2 linked regions of the Caenorhabditis elegans genome follow. The gene in region 1 interacts genetically with each later gene. Each region holds a gene or a part of one and is shown in the gene's direction. Other genes may lie near its edges.

Evidence for each region. Genes that interact genetically often act in the same process or in processes that back each other up.
Region 2: of lin-45 (region 1) and nhr-80, changing one enhances a phenotype caused by changing the other (phenotypic enhancement), as found in Caenorhabditis elegans (one large-scale study listed by BioGRID).

Annotation. Positions count from the first base shown.
Region 1 is NC_003282.8:6,742,979-6,753,438, reverse strand, and holds the start of lin-45 (Raf homolog serine/threonine-protein kinase), read left to right. Parts: upstream 1-5,014; coding exon 5,015-5,086; intron 5,087-5,624; exon of another isoform or gene 5,625-5,718; coding exon of another isoform or gene 5,719-5,739; intron 5,740-5,980; coding exon 5,981-6,151; intron 6,152-6,313; coding exon 6,314-6,496; intron 6,497-6,547; coding exon 6,548-6,670; intron 6,671-6,722; coding exon 6,723-6,983; intron 6,984-7,342; coding exon 7,343-7,642; intron 7,643-7,692; coding exon 7,693-7,816; intron 7,817-7,989; coding exon 7,990-8,204; intron 8,205-8,249; coding exon 8,250-8,372; intron 8,373-8,589; coding exon 8,590-8,848; intron 8,849-8,894; coding exon 8,895-8,991; intron 8,992-9,040; coding exon 9,041-9,452; intron 9,453-9,973; coding exon 9,974-10,201; 3' UTR 10,202-10,460. UniProt on the Caenorhabditis elegans protein: Protein kinase that participates in the induction of vulva and has roles in fertility and viability. Acts downstream of the Ras protein let-60. Required for progression of developing oocytes through the pachytene stage.
Region 2 is NC_003281.10:10,110-20,569, reverse strand, and holds nhr-80 (Nuclear hormone receptor family member nhr-80), read left to right. Parts: upstream 1-5,816; coding exon 5,817-6,048; intron 6,049-6,486; coding exon 6,487-6,758; intron 6,759-6,887; coding exon 6,888-7,106; intron 7,107-7,178; coding exon 7,179-7,605; intron 7,606-7,942; coding exon 7,943-8,094; intron 8,095-8,168; coding exon 8,169-8,381; 3' UTR 8,382-8,439; downstream 8,440-10,460. Other genes in the region: H10E21.4 (EF-hand domain-containing protein), read left to right, coding at 1,007-1,067, 1,126-1,221, 1,671-1,860, 2,437-2,659, 3,009-3,149; H10E21.1 (Transposase), read right to left, coding at 3,291-3,422, 3,632-3,772, 3,946-4,049, 4,319-4,529, 4,707-4,754; npr-30 (G-protein coupled receptors family 1 profile domain-containing protein), read right to left, coding at 8,689-8,868, 9,469-9,773, 9,929-10,054, 10,103-10,205. UniProt on the Caenorhabditis elegans protein: Transcription factor. Binds to regulatory elements and regulates transcription of target genes, including acyltransferase dgat-2.

The DNA of each region.
Region 1 (10,460 bases):
CTATTCATTATGATAGTCGGTCATATTGCATATTGAGCTATGAGAAGTGTGTTTAGAAATATTTTTAAAAATTGAAAATTCGTTGCAAAATGCCAAAAAGCCAAAAATTCAACTGGAATTCGCATCCACCAGGACTGAAATTCCAGGACAATTGTTCTTGTGCAGAAACTCCAGAACAATGTGACATCTTTGACAAAATGAATGCAAGCTTTTAAAACATCCAACTTATTGAGACCGTTCATTTTTAAATTAATAGACATAACCTGTATGTGCAATAATTTGAAATTACAATTTTGAAACTTTTTGCCAGTTTTGAAAAGTTTTAGAATTCAAACAAGTATGTATTTATTTCCCGATCTTCTCTCATTTCAGTTTTTCATTAGAATCCCTAAAAAAAAGTTAATATCTTCTTCTCTTCCAAATATATTTTATCCTTTATTCACATTCATTTTCTTCTTCTTCTTCCCTATTTTATTTCCCTTCATTTTGTCTTCTCTCTTCTTTTTCATAAACTATTTTTCCTTCAAAAAATGCAAGCATTTTCTCCAACTCTCTTCCCCATTTTCGGAAGCTCTCATTGGTTGCCTTGGTAACGTGGCGCCCGTTTTGTTGAAAAACAGGAGAGTGCTCACTTATGCTTTTGTGTTAAATTTCTGCATTTCTTTTTTTTCTGCATTTCCCATGTGTCCAATTTAATTCTCATTCATCGCGAGTTGTAACTTTGCAAAATGATTTTTGATTGTGGCTTTTCATGGGAATTATTAGGGGGAAAGTGCAGAGATTCGATAGATTAAACATGACTGATCTTACTCTTATGGGAAAAAGATAATCACGAGTTGTAAGACTACAATGAATTCATAAAAGATGTTACAAACTTGTCTAGGATTTTACAAAAGTGGTGAAACAGAAATCATTTCTTTTCTTTTTCTAATACAATTTGATGTTTTCTGAAAAATTAGTATTTATTAATAGTAGTCTTAGTCAAAATTAAGAAAAAATGATCAAAAAGGAACCGTTCAAGATTTGGAACTATGCATTTTTCTTTGAAAAAGCGTCAATTTCTCAACTTTTTCTTGGTTTTTCCAGACCGTATTTCTAGTTGATTTTCTAGTTGAGTTTAACATTATAAATTTAACTGTTAGATCTCGATAGTGGTAAGTCATCGATGGAGATACAAAAATACCTACCTGACTTCCTACAAGGTAGCCTAGTTTACCGCGAGGACTTATATGTAACATAGGCATCAGGTGTTAAATAAGTCTCACATGTAGGTACTCAGGCTGTTAATTTTTAATCTGCGTGATTGACCTAACTTCAAAATTTATTTTTTGTTTGTTGTAGGTCACATAAAATCTTGCTTCAAAAATGTATTGGTTCAGATTTTTAAGCAACTTTCAAGATTTTTTATAAGTTGAAGTTTAAAGTTTTCAAATTTTCATTTAATCTACATGCCGCACGGCAGGCGTAACTTCGAAGGCAACCTATGCCTACATTTCCGTAAATACATGAACAAATGTAAAGTAGGCGTAGGTCGCCTACACGATGAGTTATGGTTTTCTTGTAGACAATTAGGTTTTAGGAGTGTTATATTCCATTTTCAATTTTTTGATTTACAAACTGAAATAGTATCAAAGATTTTTAGAACAACTCAGTTTCGATTGAACGAAGCCACAAATTTATAGACGCAAGATTTTCCGGAAGTGTGCCTCTTACACCTTTATATATATATTGCTAAAATTACAGTAGGATCACTAGAACTTTTCGAAGTCCAAATCATCATCTGTCATCAATTTCATATTTTTCATTCCCTCACATCAAGTGTCTTCCAATTGTTTTCACGGGTTTCCAAGGACCCGTATGTGCATGTTTATCTAGCTCACACACACACAAAGATCCCAGAAAAATTACACTAACTTTCATTCTTTTTTGCTTGAAACGAAAAGATAGAATAAAAACGAGCAAAGTGACTCGTCGCCGACCCGTCTTTTATGAGAGGTGCATGTGTTCTAGGTCCTTCTCGAATGTTTTTTCACTTTTCTTTGCTGATCTTCTCCAATGACTTAGTGATGAAATATGGGTCACATTTGACGTAGTTTATGAATTCGGGTGTCTTGGGTCACCTGACGATGGAAGGACATGAAGACTTTTCTTGAGTTATTGACCTGGAATGAGTGAGGTTCTAGAATCTAGAACAACTGTTCTTCAACTATAAACATATAGATTTCTGTAGTCAGCTTGAAAAATGTTTTGAAATAGCAAGAAAAAAAAACAGGTGTCAATTTAATTTTAGATCTGTAAAAGTTTAGAAATCAAAATTAAATTTTCTACAATTAATTGGATTAGGTCAGCAAATAAGACGTATATGTATGGTCAATTCAAGTTTATTTTCAAATTTTGTATAGGTGAGTTATATAGCAGTTAGGACATCCAATCCTAAAAGTTTCAGCTAGTTTCAGCTAATAGCTTCTTAGTTGTTTGATCTGAAAAAAATTTAAATTGTTTTTTATGCAATTAATTGAACTTATTCACTGTCTAGTTAAATATTTAACGAAAAAATATAATCGGAAAAATTTAATATTTTTTAGTAAATTTCACTGTTTCTCATTTGCTATAAAATTTCTGTGTGTGTGGTCCAATTTTGATGAAATGTTGTGATGAATTTTTCTCATCTACGAACAAAACATAATTGATTTAGTTATTACTTAACATCAAAACTCAAAGGCCTAATCCAAAATATCGCAAAAAAATTAGTAATGTTACATATTTTCAGAACAAAGTACCAAGAAGCTTAGCTAAAACTTGTAGGCTTGTATATACTAACTGCACACTATATGTAAGTAGCCCATACAAAATTTCAGACAAATCGTAAACTTACAAAATATGTCAAAACTTATTTGTTGACCAGATTTTGTTGGCGATGTGTGCATCATGCGCCCACTTCTAGTATTATCTACAGTTGATCTATAACTAGAGCCCCCTAAAAACTAGTTCAAAAGTCAGCCGAGTCTTGTTGTCACTAAATCACTCAAACAATAAATATATCACATACACATATATCTTCTTCTTTTTCTTCATTTCTTTCTCGTTTTCTTTTGCACCGAACTGATTTAAGATCAGTAGAGTTCAAGATACTCAGAGAAGCTGAGAAAATCAATGATCATGATGTTTTTGGTGACCAGAAGGAGCAAAAGAGCAAGAAGGGAAAGATGGAAAGGAGGAAGGAAAAGCAATCGAACTATACAAAATGTAGTAAAAAGACAAACTTTGAGTACAACGAGCACACAGAGTATGAAGAGGTTTTTGAGCGACTAAACATAGAAATTTTTTCACTGTTTCAAGGGATCTAGTTTAAAATCGAAAAATCGATTTTTCGATTATAATCTTTGATTATAATCTTTGAATAGCGTTCAATTTGAAATGTCCAATGCTCTTAAACTTTTAACTGTAGAGGTAGATTTGGTGTTAATTTCTAAAGCTGGCGAAAACCTTGCAATAGATACTTTTAAACTTTTTTGGAGCTCGTTTGAGCATGTCGGCTGAAAATTTCTGAAGACAGGACGTCCCAATGTACGATTCAAAGTTAATTTCGATGAAGCCAAATTTCTGAATTTCTGTTGAAAATCTATATTAAGAACTACGATATCTCACATTAAAATGAAAATAATTGTTATTTTGCGAACTACAATTATACTGAAATAGGTTTTTTTTTGAAATTCTAGTGATCAAAGAAATTTGAAAAAGTTTTGTATAGTCAACATTAGATCAAAATAATGCTTTCGTAGTTTGTTTATTTAAAACTTTTAATAATAATCTTTAGAACCTCAATCTTTTTGATAAACCAAAACAAATATTTGATAGAAAAATGACCTCTTTGATGTGGAATATAGTGTATTTTGTTTCTTTTTTGAGGAATTGTTCGCACTTTTCAAGTGGAAATTGGCGGAAAAAGATGAGAATAGAGTGGAATGAAGAGGCGGAACGAACAAAACACATTTGATGCGCGATCCCATTGATTTTTATTCGTAGAATTTGGATTTTTTTCATAGATTTTTCAAAATAGATTTTTAGACTCACGCTTATTCCTCAAAACATGTATCAACTCAGATGGGTCTCGTCGCGAGAAAACACATTAAGACATATGTTTTAATCTCCGTGATGCCAGCTGCTTTTATTCTGCTTTCCAACTTTCGAAAATTTAGTTTCAAAATAACTGTTTAAAAGTGGTAAAGTTGACAAATGTTAAGATAATAAGTTGATAAGTAATACTTAAGTTAAGTTGATTCCAAGGAAGCAAATGATACCAAATTTTTCTAAATCCTAGAATGAACTATTTTTTCGTGGCAAGACCAATCTTAACAGATCAGTTCACTTTTCAGAAAATTTGAAAATTACCATAACGTAAAGGTAATCAGTTGAGTCATGTAATCCCTTTTTTCTCAAAAATGTCCACATTCTGCAAAATCTTAGTTGCAATATGTCACAGACATTTGTCTAGTCTGTCAGTTTCAGATAAACTTTTCCCGTTTTTTCAACTTTCACAGCTAATTCGGGGTGTACTAACTAGAAGTAGCTTATTAACCAAATGTCATCTAGTTCCTTCTTTTATAATTTGATTAGTGGTTTTTTTCGAATATATTCTTTTCTAGTTTGTGTTTTGTCACGTATGACCTTGTTTCTTCAAATCAACTTGCTGCTCTCTTCACAAACTAAGGTCATCTGTTTCGTGTTAAGACCCAACGCTGAAAACATTGTCAACCTATTCGTGGCACGTGTCGCTCCCGATTTACACGTTTCTTTTTCTTTGCTCTCTTTTTCTATCTCTCTCGATCAGAGCACAGAAACCAGTGAGAAAAAATAGATGGCGAAAACAAACCCCGCCTCTCTTTTTTTGTGTGTGAAGAGAACCATTGGATCCAAAGGGGCCCCTGTTAACAATATATTTTTACTTTCTGAAATTCTTCTAAAGTTATCTGGAGATAATTATATTCCATAATTGATCACATAACATTTTAAAATGTCTGCAATGGCTGTACTGTATTCAGTTTGTCACTTTCATGGAGGCTGGAATCGTCGGAAATCGGCACCAGTAAGTTGAAAACTGATTTAAATCAATAGGGTACACTCTGTGAAATCATAGTGATATTTGAATAATCAAATGACTTTATGAAGCAACCCGCGGGGCTTCTGTATTGAGAAAATACACGATTGCATTTAAAACTTTGCGAACACAATTGTTTAATTGGCCAGCAAATTGAACATTCGTGATTCCTTTTTTGAACATGGGAATCCCACGTTTCATTCGTAACATCTTTTTCAATACAAGTTTTAACTTTTCTTTTCAGCTATCGAGTTACTGTAGATTTGAAAAGTTAATTTATCAACTAATGAAAATAAACGTATTCCATATTTCCATTAATAATAGATTTATTTAAAGCTTCACTCCATCTACATAAATTCATATAACCGAGCGCAACGCTGTCCTTATTATTTGAAAATTCTAATAAACCCTGCAAAATCTGGGTTAAAATCTTCTGCGCGAAAATGGAAGAGAAAAGTGTGTTCGGCCCGCGGACTAACTCCCTCCGTGTACTCTTCTCGGAAAAGAAAAAAATCATCTTTGCGCCCCTTACCGCCGCTCTCTTTCTTTTGTTGACCTTCTATCTGCGAATATATTGATTTTCTGGTTTATTTTATTTTGGAATTAACTGCAATTTTCACATGGAATGCTCTCGCGAAACGGTGTGTTTTCGAACGTTTTCCACAAATAAAATGAAAGTGAAAAATGCTAAAGGGAAACATTTATTTGTTCAGATTGTTTTAAAAAGTGCTTCACAATAATAAAATAGAGCATCTGAAAAGTAATTTACTTATTGCTTGTTCTGATTTCTCAAATGTCCTTTAAAAGTCCGTGTTTAATGTTTTACTCGTCCAAATTGTCCTTTTGTTTTTTAATTACATGTAATCACTAACAGCAATTTAGAAGTCACCTGTCACATCATCTCAAACGCCATCATCATCGTCGACACGCCGCCGAATGAGTCGGATTAATTTCAAAAAGTCATCGGCGTCGACCACCCCGACGAGCCCACATTGCCCATCTCCGCGGCTTATAAGTCTGCCGAGATGTGCTTCTTCATCTATTGATCGGAAGGTAGAAAATTAGCAACGAATCCTTTGTCTTGAATTTTTTAACACTAATTACATGTTACTTGTGGGGAATCGTGTTAATCTATTCAATTCAGAATCAAGCGTCCACTTCTCATTCCAAAGATTATCAATTAAATATTTATATGTAACTCATAATTATTTTCAGGATCAAGCTTCGCCGATGGCAAGTCCTTCAACTCCTCTTTATCCAAAGCACAGTGATAGTCTTCATTCGTTATCTGGACATCATTCCGCTGGAGGAGCAGGAACAAGTGACAAGGAACCGCCAAAATTCAAATACAAAATGATTATGGTTCATTTGCCATTTGATCAACATTCTAGGGTTGAAGTAAGCAAAAAATTCACTGTGAAACGAAGAAAATAAGCACATTTTGTTCAGGTTCGTCCCGGTGAAACCGCGCGGGATGCCATTTCGAAATTGCTCAAAAAACGGAATATCACACCTCAATTATGTCACGTGAACGCGTCATCTGACCCAAAACAAGAATCTATTGAATTATCGGTGTGATTTACTGGAATCTAACAGCATAATTCTTATTTTTGAATATTTTCAGCTGACAATGGAAGAGATCGCATCCCGACTGCCTGGAAATGAATTATGGGTTCATTCAGAATATCTGAATACAGTCTCATCGATTAAACATGCAATTGTTCGAAGAACGTTTATTCCACCGAAATCATGTGATGTATGCAATAATCCTATCTGGATGATGGGATTTCGATGTGAATTTTGTCAATTCAAATTTCATCAAAGATGCTCATCGTTTGCACCACTTTATTGCGATTTGTTACAATCTGTACCGAAAAATGAAGATGTGCGTTCAGAACAAAGGCGGGCGGCAATATTACAAAATTACCAATGTTGTCCCAACATTTGTCATTAACGTCGAAATATAGAAAACCACATTATTTATCTAATGACAACTTTTAATTATGTTTAAAGATCTGTGAAAATGCACAATAATGGCCATTTGCCATAGGCAATTCGCAACTTCTAGGTCATTTTTGTGCATTTTCATAGATGTTTAAACATAATTAAAAGTTATCATTAGATAATTAAGGTGGTTCTATATATTTTTTACACTGATTTTTAATGAAAAATGTTGGAACAACATGGCGTAATTGCTCACCTCTGCTTCAGAAACAATTCTTATCTAAAACATTTAATTTTCAGCTAGTGAAAGAACTCTTTGGGATCGCATCACAAGTCGAAGGCCCAGATAGATCAGTTGCCGAAATAGTTCTTGCTAATCTAGCTCCAACGAGTGGACAAAGTCCAGCTGCCACACCAGACAGTTCTCATCCAGATTTGACGAGTATTAAACGAACGGGTGGTGTCAAAAGACATCCAATGGCTGTTTCTCCACAGAATGAAACATCTCAATTATCTCCATCCGGACCTTATCCACGGGATCGGAGCTCTTCTGCTCCGAATATCAATGCGATTAATGATGAGGCAACAGTTCAACATAATGTAATAGTCACCAATTTTAAAAGAAAAAGTCTAAAATGTATTATTTTCAGCAAAGAATTCTTGATGCATTGGAAGCTCAGCGATTAGAAGAAGAATCACGAGATAAAACTGGATCGTTACTTTCAACACAAGCACGTCATCGACCTCATTTCCAGAGTGGACATATTTTGTCAGGTAATCGAAAACAGAAAACATAACGATTCGTCAAAAGGTCAGGGAAGAAAAACAAAATTCCAAATTTAAGACGTTTTTCTAAAGTTATAAAAACAATTTTTACTCTATTCCACCTTCAAGAATTTCCCAAACGACTCTAATTATTTTAATTTCACTTATTCTCAATTATTCAGGAGCTCGAATGAATCGTCTTCACCCACTTGTTGACTGTACTCCTCTTGGCTCGAATTCTCCTTCATCTACATGTTCATCACCTCCAGGTGGCTTAATCGGACAACCTACTCTTGGACAATCCCCGAATGTATCAGGATCAACGACGTCATCATTAGTAGCCGCTCATTTGCATACTCTCCCATTAACACCACCACAATCAGCACCTCCTCAGAAGGTAGAATTCAAAAAAATCTATTTTTCTTCAATTAAAAATGTTTAGATTTCACCTGGTTTCTTCCGAAATCGTAGTCGATCGCCAGGCGAACGACTTGATGCACAACGACCCAGGCCGCCACAGAAACCACATCATGAGGATTGGGAAATATTGCCGAATGAATTTATTGTAAGTTTATTCTACATCAGCAAGGGTGCACGGCTTTTGCAAACCGGCAGTTCTACAAAAGGAGCATGTTATCCTAATTTTTTTCATTTAAATTCAGTGATCGAATATAGAAAAAAAACATTTTATTTATCTGAAAATAGCTTTTTTTTTTACAGTTGAAGCAATAAAAAAACGCTCAAAACTTCTGTCAAAACTATTAAAACAAGCATTCTTTTAGATTCAATACAAAGTTGGTTCGGGATCCTTCGGTACCGTCTATCGTGGAGAATTCTTCGGAACTGTTGCTATAAAAAAGCTGAATGTTGTTGATCCGACGCCTTCTCAAATGGCAGCCTTTAAAAATGAAGTTGCAGTTTTAAAGAAAACACGTCATTTGAATGTTTTGCTGTTTATGGGATGGGTTCGAGAACCAGAAATTGCAATTATTACTCAATGGTGTGAAGGATCGAGTTTGTATAGACATATTCATGTTCAAGGTGATCTGAACTGAGATTTTAATTCTTATAATTTAATAATTTTCAGAGCCACGCGTCGAATTTGAAATGGGTGCTATCATTGATATACTGAAGCAAGTGTCTCTTGGAATGAATTATTTACATTCAAAAAATATTATTCATCGGTAACTGACCATATCTATAATTTATGTTTAAATGTTTAAAACATTTCAGTGACTTGAAAACGAACAATATATTCCTTATGGATGACATGTCAACGGTAAAAATTGGAGATTTCGGCTTGGCAACTGTCAAAACGAAATGGACAGTGAACGGAGGTCAACAGCAACAACAACCAACAGGAAGTATTCTCTGGATGGCACCTGAAGTCATCAGAATGCAAGATGATAATCCATATACCCCACAGTCTGATGTGTATTCTTTTGGAATATGCATGTACGAAATTCTATCTTCGCATCTACCATACTCCAACATTAATAATCGAGATCAGATATTGTTTATGGTTGGAAGAGGGTATTTGAGGCCGGATAGATCGAAAATTCGACATGATACGCCGAAGAGCATGCTCAAATTATATGACAATTGCATTATGTTCGATAGAAATGAGCGGCCAGTATTTGGAGAGGTGAGTGGGAAATACCGACTTTAGAAATTTGGTAGAACTATGATTTATTATGGGGTTATTCATGAGTGTCAAAAAACTTTTAAAAAATCGATTTTTTGTACTTTGTACATGTTTCGACAGCGTCGACGAGCGAAAAACTACAGTAAGCCGCCATGCGGCGAGACCATACGTTTTCATATGACTATGTCTCTTCAAAAGTTGTGTAAATTTACGAGCTGGGCGTTCTCCCCGTGTACACCGCGAGGACAATTCGGAATTTATTTTCTTCCAGTACTTCACACATTTTCGCTCTTTTTTTTCACATTTAAAATTGGCAGTTTTGTCTAAATATGGTGGCTTCCTTTGATTTTTCACTCTTTGACGCTGTCGAAAAATGGATAAAAACATGCTTTTAAGAAATCGATGTATTTTTTAAAAACATTTTTTTCGCTCATGAATAACTCCACTACACTGAAAAATCCAAAAAAATATTGTAGTTTGATTTTTAAATAAATTTTAATGAATGAATTCCAATTTTTCAGGTTCTCGAACGACTTCGCGACATAATTCTTCCAAAATTGACTCGTTCTCAATCAGCTCCGAATGTTCTTCACTTAGACTCGCAATATTCGGTGATGGATGCTGTAATGAGAAGCCAAATGCTTTCCTGGTCATATATTCCACCTGCAACTGCAAAAACCCCACAATCAGCAGCAGCAGCGGCCGCTGCTAACAAGAAGGCATACTACAATGTCTATGGTCTCATTTAGTTTTATTTTGTTTTTTTTTTTGAAAATCAAGGGACACTGCAACTTTTTAGTTGATTTTCTCGTCTCTCCCCGAATATGTACCTTTATTTTCTCTCTTTTTTCTATTCTTCCCAGTGATTTTCCCTACCCCATGTGTACACTAACCAAAAAACTTCCAGTCGAAGAATAATCTCGCCCATCGTTATTTTACTAATCATTTCTCGTCACATTGAATCCTGTTCTATTATTCACCCCCTCATCACCCATCCCGATATTATTA
Region 2 (10,460 bases), on another chromosome or scaffold:
CTCCTAGACCCTTATTGTTCAAAATGAATTTAAATTTTGAAAACTTTGTTGCTTTTCAGGATGAGTTTCAGGTGAAAATACACAAAATTAAAAAAAAAGGCTTTAAATTTTCAATTTAAAAAAAAAAGAATCGAAAATTTTGTCCAATAAGTTGGCGGAGCTCAATTTCACAATTTGTTTGAGTTTTCTGAAATAGTGGTCAATAAGTAGGCGGAGCGTATATTCAAAGATTTCAATAACATTTTTTAGAGTTTTCCAAATAGTGGGTTATTTTAAGAATTTTTAAAAGTTTTTCATAAATTTTGTCCAATAAGTGGGCGGAGCTTACTATCACAAATTTTTAAATTTTTTTCAATTTTTTCAAATTCGTAAAAAAAATTTTGATCAATAAGTGGGCGGAGTCTATTTGTAGAATTTCCTGTTTTTTTTAAAGTTTTCCTAAAACTGTGCTCATGGGGGCGGAGCTTAATTTAAAACTTCGGAAAATTTTTAATTTTAAGAAAATGATCATTTTAAGAAAACTTTATAAATTTACTTTTGAAAAATAATACTATTAAAAAAAGTTGTCCATTAAGTGGGCGGAGTTTATCTTTTAGAATTTTTCTATTTTTGAAATTTTTTTGCAAGCTGAAAAGAAAAGAAAAGTTTTGAGCTATTTCTTCAGTTTTTTTCAGAATTTTTTCTCCAAAAGTATATCCAAGACAAGCACACCTTCCTCTCAATTATCTCCCCTCAAAGATTCCCCCATTCTCTTTTTTTTTTTCGTTCAGCTGCGTTGCGTAATCTTGATTGCGTATATATTTACAAGCGGGTGGGGGATGGTTCTGTCGCGTAACGAAGCGGCTTCTGCCAAACCCGTTTCGCCTGCCTGGGTCTCTACAGTACCCCAGTACTGTCTGTGAAAAAACTTTCGGTTTTGTCTAGTTCATTGCCAGAAGCTGAGAGATATCTTTCATTTTTGCTGTGTGAAAATTTTCGCGCGGCGCTGTGAAATTTTCGACTAAAAATGATTAGGCAATCGGTTTTTTTGCTTGCGGCTATTGGGGCTACCGTTTTTGCACAGAATGGTAAGTTTTTAGAATTTTTTTTCGAAATTATGTTTTTATGCCTAAAACGTTTTTTCAGACTCATTCGACCTTGTGGATGCGAACAATGATGGAAAGCTGTCCGAGAAGGAACTAATCACTTTTATGAGGAAGCGAGGAAGGCCTGATGGGCAAGGTAGGGGGAACTTTGCAAGATTTTTGAAAATGTTCAACTGCCAAAATGTAGTGCTAGAATTTTACTACAAGTTGTTAGTTGGAAATTTTTTTGTAACTCTGTTAGAGTTATACAGCTTTAAAGACTGACTGGCTAGAGTGTCTTGTTTGACCGGAGTGAGCTAGCGCCTGTAACTCTTCAATGAGCAAATTTATCAAAAACTTGCCAAGTAACAAAATGTGCCAAATTTAATCTTCTACAACTTTGTACTTGAACACTTTTTGATAGAACACCTAGTTCTTCAGATACCCCTGATTTTTGATCCCACACTCATTCGTGACTAGGTGAAATTAGTCATACTACAGTTACACAAACCGAACAATAGATACAGCTACAGCTATTAAACACAGAGGGGTTCTACTCAAAACTAGATTCCCGATCACCTTGAGATGAGCATGACTAACTTGCAGAATACTTCCAACGCTTCGATTTGGACCGTAACGGGCACTTGGATATTTCTGAGTTTGTGCCATTGGTCTATGAGATGAGCCGGCGGCCAGTTGACATGGATTATGAGTTCTTCAAAAAAATGGACTTGAATGATGATGGAATTGTGGATAAGGCTGAGGTGGAGAAGATCAGAAAGGATAATAATGATAGGTAAGAGTTTCGGAGATGATACTACTAAAAAATCATTTTTATAGCTCTTTTCCTCGCAGAGATAGAACGGTTTAAAGTTTGCATGCCAAGAGAGTGTGGGGTAGGGGGAGGGTGCGAGACGCGCGCGCTGTCTTGCACTCTCCCCTTCTCCCACACTCTCTGCATGTATAAACTTCAGACCTTGATATCTCAGCTGGGAAAAGAGCTATCCAAATAATTTTAACTAACAAAATGTAGAGCTAAAAATTCTCTACAATCTGTTAGTTGACAAAGTCTTGAATACTTTACTAGTTTTCAAGATATTGCAATTTTTACCTTCTATAGTGTTGTGCCCTAACAATTATTGGCATTTATGTCATTTATTAGTAAGGATAATAGAGAACCTAGGATAGGCATTGAAACTAGAGTGCCTCTCATTTACAACATAATTTACAACCTACACAGGGAGAGGGAGGGAAGACCAACAGAGCAAGAGGGAAGAATGTGAACCTTAATAGACCGCCAAACAGGCCGCATAAATCAAATTATAGATAACACATCTTATGTGCATAGGACCACACAACATATAGTTTTCAGAATTATCGACGGAATCCTCTCAATCGCCGACACTAACAGAGATGGTCAGCTCACTTATGCCGAGTTCAAAAACCACCTGAGCAGCGGAGCCAAGAGCCTGAGCCCAGCCGAGGAGCAAAGAAACCAGGCTCTCCAGCTCCTCAGCTTTATTGACGCCAACGGTGATAACAAGTTGGACCAGTTGGAGCTTTACACTTTCTCACAGAAAACTTCCACTAATAAGGTGAGTTTATGGTATTTTTAAAATGTTGTGTGAAGTGGAAAATGTAGAGCTGGAAATTTGCTATACTTTGTTAGTTGAAAACTTTTTGTTAGCTCCATTCTCAGCAGAGTTATTCGCTTTTAAAGTTGGAGATGTGAAAGAGTGTGGGGAAGGGGGAGACACAGACAGCGCGCGCGTCCCGCACCCTCCCCCCTCCACACTATTTCATCGCGCAAACTTTAAAGCGTTGTATCTCGGCGGTGGGGAAAGATACCGAAAAGTTTTCAACTAACAAAATATAGTAAATTTTACGCTCTACAATTTCTTTTCTTGTAATTTTTTTCTAGTCATCACAGTTACCAAGTTACAGGTCACCAAATCCGATGTCCAGCAAATTTTCGCAATGCTCGACAAGAACCAGGACGGTTATTTGACCGAAAACGAGTTGCTCCAACTTGCACAGCAATTTTCAACAATCGGAAATGTCAGATCAACAATTCCAAAGGTTTAGATAAAGAATGAAAAACGATAATATTTCTTTAATTACCGTGAAAAATCTCATTTTTTTTGTGTATATTTGATTGAATTTGAATAAATAAATAGATTTTATTTTTATATATAAAAACGCTAGTTCTCTTAAAAAATCAATAAATCATCGATTTCTCATCATTTTAAGGTAAGAAATGTACAGTAACCGTGCTATGAAAGGCCAGGAGAATGCGAAAAAGAAAAATTGAAAATTCCGGAAAAAGCGGCAAATCGACTGAGTCCACGTGGTTCGGCGCTGAAAAATCGATAATTTGAAAAAAAACTGTTTTGAGAATTTTTTTTTGATAAGTGTATAGTAAAATTTGAAAAAAAAAACTACAATTAATTTAAAAAATTCGCTAATTAAAAAAAAACCGAAAAAAAACCAAAAATCGATAATTTACTGAGCCTAAAATTATTTATCGATTTTTGGAAAATCGATAAATTAAAAAAATCAATACATACCTTAGAAACCCGATTCAACAGATGCATGATAACCTTTAATTGTAGTGCATTGGTAGTTTCGACGCTATTCAGCTGCCTTGAAATTTCCATAAGTTGCTCATTGAGCTGCATTAAAAGTGGGTAGTGAGCCATTTCTTGGAACTGAAAATTTGAAATTTTTGGGTAAAAATTGGCTGAAAATCGGATAAAATTGATTGGAAATTTTTTTTGAAAAAAAAATTTCAAAATTTTTTTTTGAATTCAAATTTACAGAAATATTTCAAAAACCTGTTTTACATAAAAATGTGTTTATAACTTAAAAAATTCGAATTTACCGCCAAATTGAGTACTTTCCAGTCACTGCTGTGGTCACTTCCACTGTTGCTCCGTCGCCCCTTTGATGGCCCCGTAATTCTCCGGTTTTTGATTTCATCGGGTTCTAAATAAAATAATTGAGTTGTGCTTAAAATTGGCTTTCAGAGAAATATACATTTTTTGAGGTTTCGCAAGAGAAAATGAAAAAAAAAGGAAAAAAACTTTTTTTTAAAAGAATTTTTTTTTCAAATTTATTTTTTTGTAGTTGAAAAATTTGTGGAATTAAGAAAAAATTATACTTTTCTAAAAGCTCTCAAACAGCCTAATTAAAAAAAATTTTAAATTTATCCTCAAAACTTGATTTTTCAAACAAAAAATCAGGAAAAAACCCACGAAGCTTTTCCAAACTCGAGTGCTCGCTGCTCGACTCGCGGCTATAGTACTGAGCCATCCGTTCCTGATTCGACAAAAGTTTCGAGACACTTTTCTTACTCCTCCGCATTTTGGTTACAGTACCCAGATGAGATTTTAAGGAATCACACAATTTTGAGAGCTCCTCGCCACTTGACACCGCGTCCTCGTAGTCGGACTCTACTGGAATTTCCTGCAAGGTTTATGAAGTTAGTTTTTGTTTTCTGAGATTGGGAGTGAAGTTTTTAAATTTTTCGTGAAATTTTGAGTCTGGAAGTGTATTATGGCAAATTTCAAAATTTCGGAAAGTAATAAAAAGTCAAAAAAAAGTTCAAAAAAAAATTTTTTCCAAAATTTTTTTGTAACTCACAGTAATATGATCAGGAATTGGCAAATCTGTTGAAGTAGACGGAATCATGAATCTGAAACTGTTGGAAAAAAATATGAAAAACTCTCCGAAAATGGGCAAAAGTGATAAGGTGGCGGAAAAATGATAAACGACACGGATGTGCATAGAGAATTACAGGAAAAAGTGTTGAAATGGCAAGAAAAAAGGTGAAAATGTGAAATTTTTGAGTTTCGGCGTGAAAATTTTAGTTTTAGCATAAAAATTTCAATTTCAGCGTAAAATTTTGAGTCCTACAACAACAAAAAATCAATTAAAAAAATTCAAATTTTTAGCAAAAAAATCAAAAGTTTCAACCACTCCATTCTTTATAGAATGATCACATGTAGAAACGTGTAGCCTTATCAATGTATCACTAGTCTTATCAATTGTCTGCGTCTCTACGTCTCTCAGTTTCCAGTGCTCTCTGGTCATGTTTAATGCCTCAAATTGATACAGCCAATGATACACCATAGTGGTAGCTGGGAAGTTGTACTGTTTTTGTTAAAAGTTGTTTATTGTTTACTGGAGATTTTCTGAAACTATGATTTTCAAACAGAAAATTAAATTCTCAACATTAAAGTATTTGAAATTTCTTCAATAGCTCTACTCTCCGCGGAGTTACACCCCTTCAAAGTTTGAGAGGCGAGAGAGCATGGCGGAGGGAGAGACGCAGGCGGCGAGCGCGTCTCGCACCCTCCACCCACACCACACTCTCTCGCCTCGCAAACTTTAAAGAGGTGTAACTCTGCTATAAATAAAGATATAGAAAAACTGTAAAATACAACATATTGAAAATTTTATGTTCTATGTTCTACAGTTTGGCGGGAAATTCAAATTTTGCCGGAAAAAACACTTTCCATTTTTTAGGTACACAGAACACAACATAAATACCTTATCAAGTTACCTCTCCATTCAAAGAAAAAATGAGAGAGAAGCAAAAAAAAGTATCTACACGGAGGCGCAGAGAAATCAGAGAAAATCGTTATCAGCTCCACTACTCTGTTGCGCGGCATCATATCAACAATCACACCACTTTTTTCCCTCTTTTTTGGTGAACTTTTATAAAAATTGACTTTTTATTGATTTGTATACATGACGGCGGAAGGTAGGTATTTGGAAATTAGAAAAAAAACTGTAAAATCAAAATTCCGATTTCCAGCTTCTTCCAGCTCCACGCGATGTCTAATTTGTTCAGCACAAGCCACTGGATTTCACTTTGAAGCTCAGTCCTGCTCAGCTTGTGCTGCATTTTTCCGGCGGACCGTTGCACTGACAAAAAGTTTCAAGTGCATCACAGGAAGGGATGACTGCAATGTTCATTATAGTAAGTTGCTAGTGTTGTAGATCTCAAAATTCTACGCATTTTTGCATTTTAAAATTTTCTGATAGCTCTCCTCCTCGCCGAGATATTCCTCTTTGAAGTTTGCTAGGCGAGAGAGTGTGGGGCGGGAGGAGGGTGCGAGACGCGCGCGCTGCCGGCGTCTCCCCCTCCACCACACTCTCTCGTTGTCTAAACTTTGAGACGGCGTAACTCAGCGGAGAGTAAGGATATCAAGAAAAATTTTTATGCGGAAATGTGTAGAATTTGATTTTCTATCGATTTATGTTAAAGTTAAAATGGTTTTTAGTCCATTTTTTTGTGAGGCATAACTCCACATGGAGTAGGCATATAAAAAAGTTGTAAACCAACAAAATGTGTGAAATTTAAAGTTCTATAAGTTTTCATTGCCATTTTTTGCATAAACCTAAAATTTCATTCCAGGTATGCACCAAATCTGCAGAAGCTGCCGTCACAAAAAGTGCCTGAGCAATGGGATGAAGCCCGGTGGAGTTCAACCCAAAAAGCCAAACATTGAAACCGGAAGAGCATTTTTCACAAAATCAGGGCTCAAGAGAAATAAGAAATTCGCGAATGTGTCCCCGCAGACGGCTGACGAGCAGAAGCTCGTGGTGGAGGGGGTTAAGGTTCCTAAAATTGAGGTTCAGGAGCCAAATAGCTTGGAGGACTTGGAACAGGATAATGAATTTGTGATAGTAAGATTTACAGAAAATTTGTTTAAAAAATTTAGAAAAAAATTGAAATTGCCAAAATTAAAATTTTTGAAAATTGAACATTAAAAAAATTTAGTTTTTCAAAATTTAACATTCCTCAATTTTTTCCAGAAAACCCCTACACCTCGGAAAATCTCATCGTCCACCTCCTTCAGCGCCTCAACAACTACAAACTACAGTACTCCCGGACCATCTCCGATGGCTCCCTGCTCAGCGGGCCCGGATGTGCTCACCCTGTTCATACGGGAAGAGATGAAGCTCGGTGAGAGAAGGAGGCTATTGTTCAGTGAACGAGCAGTAGGGACTCTATTGGGACAGAATAAGCATTGTGTGAGTTTTCTAATAAAAAAAAATTTTGGAGCACAATTTTTTTTTGAAAAATCACCAAATAAAAAATTTTAGCCCTACAAAAAAGAGGACATAAAACCCCTGGTATTCCACGACTTTCGTCTAACCATAAAAACACACATAATGCTAGTCTACGAGTGGCTCCAAACCTGGCCCGAGCTCCAGGAGCTCGACGACTTCGACCGAATGTCACTGCTCCGGAAAGCTGTATTAATACATTTCCTACTTGATCCATCCTTCTTATCATATCAAATCGGTGAACCTGATAAGCTGATAATGCAGAACGGGGGCTTCATATCAACAGCGGACCATCATGGAGTTGGCTGGGAGGATGAGACGGATATCAGTGGGGAGAATAAGAGAAAGTACTATGTTCCAATTATGAAACAAATCACCGACGAGATCATGCCTGCGATGGAAGCTATGAAGATCACTTTTGAGGAATTTGTGGCGCTGAAGGCGCTGGCGTGCTTTCAAGGGGGTGAGATTTGTTCGAAAACATTAAAATATTGTAGAGCCAGAAGTTCTAAACATTTCATCAGTTGGAAACTTTTTGATAGCTCCACTCCCTGCAAAGTTACAATACTTCAAAGATGCGGCGGCTAGAGAGTGTGAGGTGTGGGGAGGGTGCGCGACGCGCGCGCGCAATCTGCGTCTCCCCCTCCCCCACACTCTTTCGCCGCCGTAACTTTGCAAGGGCATACTAAGCGGAGAAAAGAGCTATCAAAAAAATTCAAAAAGCAAAAGTGTTTAGAATTTGATTTTCTATATGACGCTTGTGTTATTGAAAATCTTTGCAAAACTCTAAAAAATTCCAGGTTTCGAAAACGTGTCAGAGGCGAAACGTCACCTAATCACCCAACAAGTTAACAGGATAATGACGTCACTACACACCCATTATCTTGAAAATTCCGAAGAAAAAATCGCGGAGAGGTTTGGAACCATTGTGCTCATGCTGAGCAATATATTTGTGAGTTTTTTTGAAATTTTTATTTTCAAAATTTTACCAAAACCCAAATCACCTCGAAAATCGAATTTTTCCAGACTGCCGGCAATGATTTTGTGCAAAATCACAGAGAAATCGATATTTTCCACATTTGGGATCTGGACAAGCTGGTGCTCCAGCTGCTCAACCTCGACAAAATTATGGAGACAGAAGCCAGGGAGACTGCCGAGAAACGGGCGATGCGGAATGGGATTAATGTTGTTAATAATAATAATGATGTGCTTTTGGGTCAGGCAAAGCTTGAAAAATGAGAATAAATGAATTTTTGGGCTTTTTAAAATTTTAGAATTTTATAACTTTTTGAAAAAAAATTTTTTTTTCGTTTTTTTTTTTTCAAATTTCAAAAAATTATAACTTTAGTCATTTTTAAGATTTTTTGCTCATTTTTTGCAAAAATGTGCGAAAAAATTATATCTACAGCATACCCATCAATTTTCCCCCTGGGACCCAAAAAAATTGAAAAATGTTGGGAAAAAAAGTTTAAAAAATTAATAATTTATTACAACTCAAACTCGTTTTCTGTTTTAGTACAATTTCCATGCATTAATATTTTCAAAGTTACAAGTAAATTTGCGGAGCCGCCGGCTCCGTCTCCTCGTCCTCCACCACACTTTCCACGTGGATTTCGGTAGGCACTACACTGCCGGAGGAGCTCCACCGCGGCCTGATTAGTGTTGGAGCAAGAGTATTGTCGTCGCGGAGCCAAGTTTGCACAAACCCGAGCTGTGCAGTTATCATCTGGAAATAAGATTTTAGTGGGCGTAGCTAAATTTGAAATTTTTATTTGTAAAAAAAAATTATTTTCAGAAATTGTAAATTTATTTTATAAACATATCACAAAATTTTCAATTTAAAAAATCTATAAAATAGGGTCTACAAACTTCCAGTCGAAAAAATTTTTTTTTTTAAATTTGCTCAAAAATCCCAAAAATGTTTAAAGTGGGCGGAGCCTAATTTAAGGGATTTGAATAAAAAATCAAAGCTCAGTTTTCACATACTACAGGCTCAGGTAGCAAGGTCTGAAAAAAAAATTTATTTTCAGAAAAAATTCGATGAAAAATTCCAAAAAAAGTCAAAAAGTGGGCCTAACTTGCGATTTGTAATTAATCTAAAAATGGATTTTTTTCCAAAATTCAAAATTAGTTAGTTAGAGAATAGTTTTCAGAATATTTTTCAGAAAAAAACTTTGAGGCTGAAATTTTTTTTAAAGTGGGTAGAGCCTAAAAACTTTCAATTTACCGAAAAAATAATAATTTTTTTTATTAAAAATCAAAAATTTTTGTGCTCTTAACTACTTAAACATTCAATTTTTAAAATTTTATGTTTCCAATCACCAACCTGATAAGCCCCCGCTCTTATAGTCATCAGCTTCTTCCTCTGGCTCGTCATAATAGTCGAGTGGGCGTTGCGGATTCCCTTATTGATAAAAGTTAGGATAATCGGATAGGCGGCACACGAGATGTACGGTAGCAGGTGAGCCATTTGAGATATGATCACCATCCAATTATTCGACGGGGGAAATGTGAAGAAAAGCCAGAAAAGAGCCCAGTAGGGGGTCCAACAGGCCATATAGACCACCACGAAAGCGTTTACGGTATGGCGGATTTTTAGTATTGATTGGTGATTAAATCGTGTAGAATTACCTAAAAATTGTGAGAAAATATCAATAAAATTGCAAAAAAATCGATTGAAAAAATTTATTAATTTTTTTGAAATTTTTTTTCAAAATTTTTTTTCAACATAAATAATAAAAATTTCACCCAAATTTCTATTCTAAAAAAACAGAAAAAAAACTCACTACTAGTAGTTTTAATAGACGAATATCTCCTCTTCAAGATCATGGGGACCCTCAAATAAAAGTACATGTAGGCAGCGCTAGTGAATCCGTAGCCAAACACAAACGCTAAGATATTGAACACCATTGCTGAAAAAAAAAATTAAAAATTGCCAAAACTTAGTGAAACTTTGTTACCATATGGATGAGGAGGGTGGAAAATGCACATGGTGACTGCAGTGAGCTCTCCGTGTCGTGGAATTTCGTAAGTTCGAGTTTCCGCAAAAATTAGTACGGATATCTGAATAGAAAATTGAATTCTGATCATTTTTGTAGTTGGAAGTTTCTTTGTAGCTCCACTCCCCGCGGAGTTATGCCCATTCAAAGTTTTACCAGCGAGAGAGCGTGGGGTAGGGGGAGACGCAGAGCGCACTGCGTCTCCCCGCCGCCACACTCTCTAGCCGCTAAACCTTCAAAGCGGGATATCTCTGCGGGGAGTGAAGCTATCAAAGTTTTGAAAAATAAGAAAATGAGTAGAACTTCAAGCTCTACAATT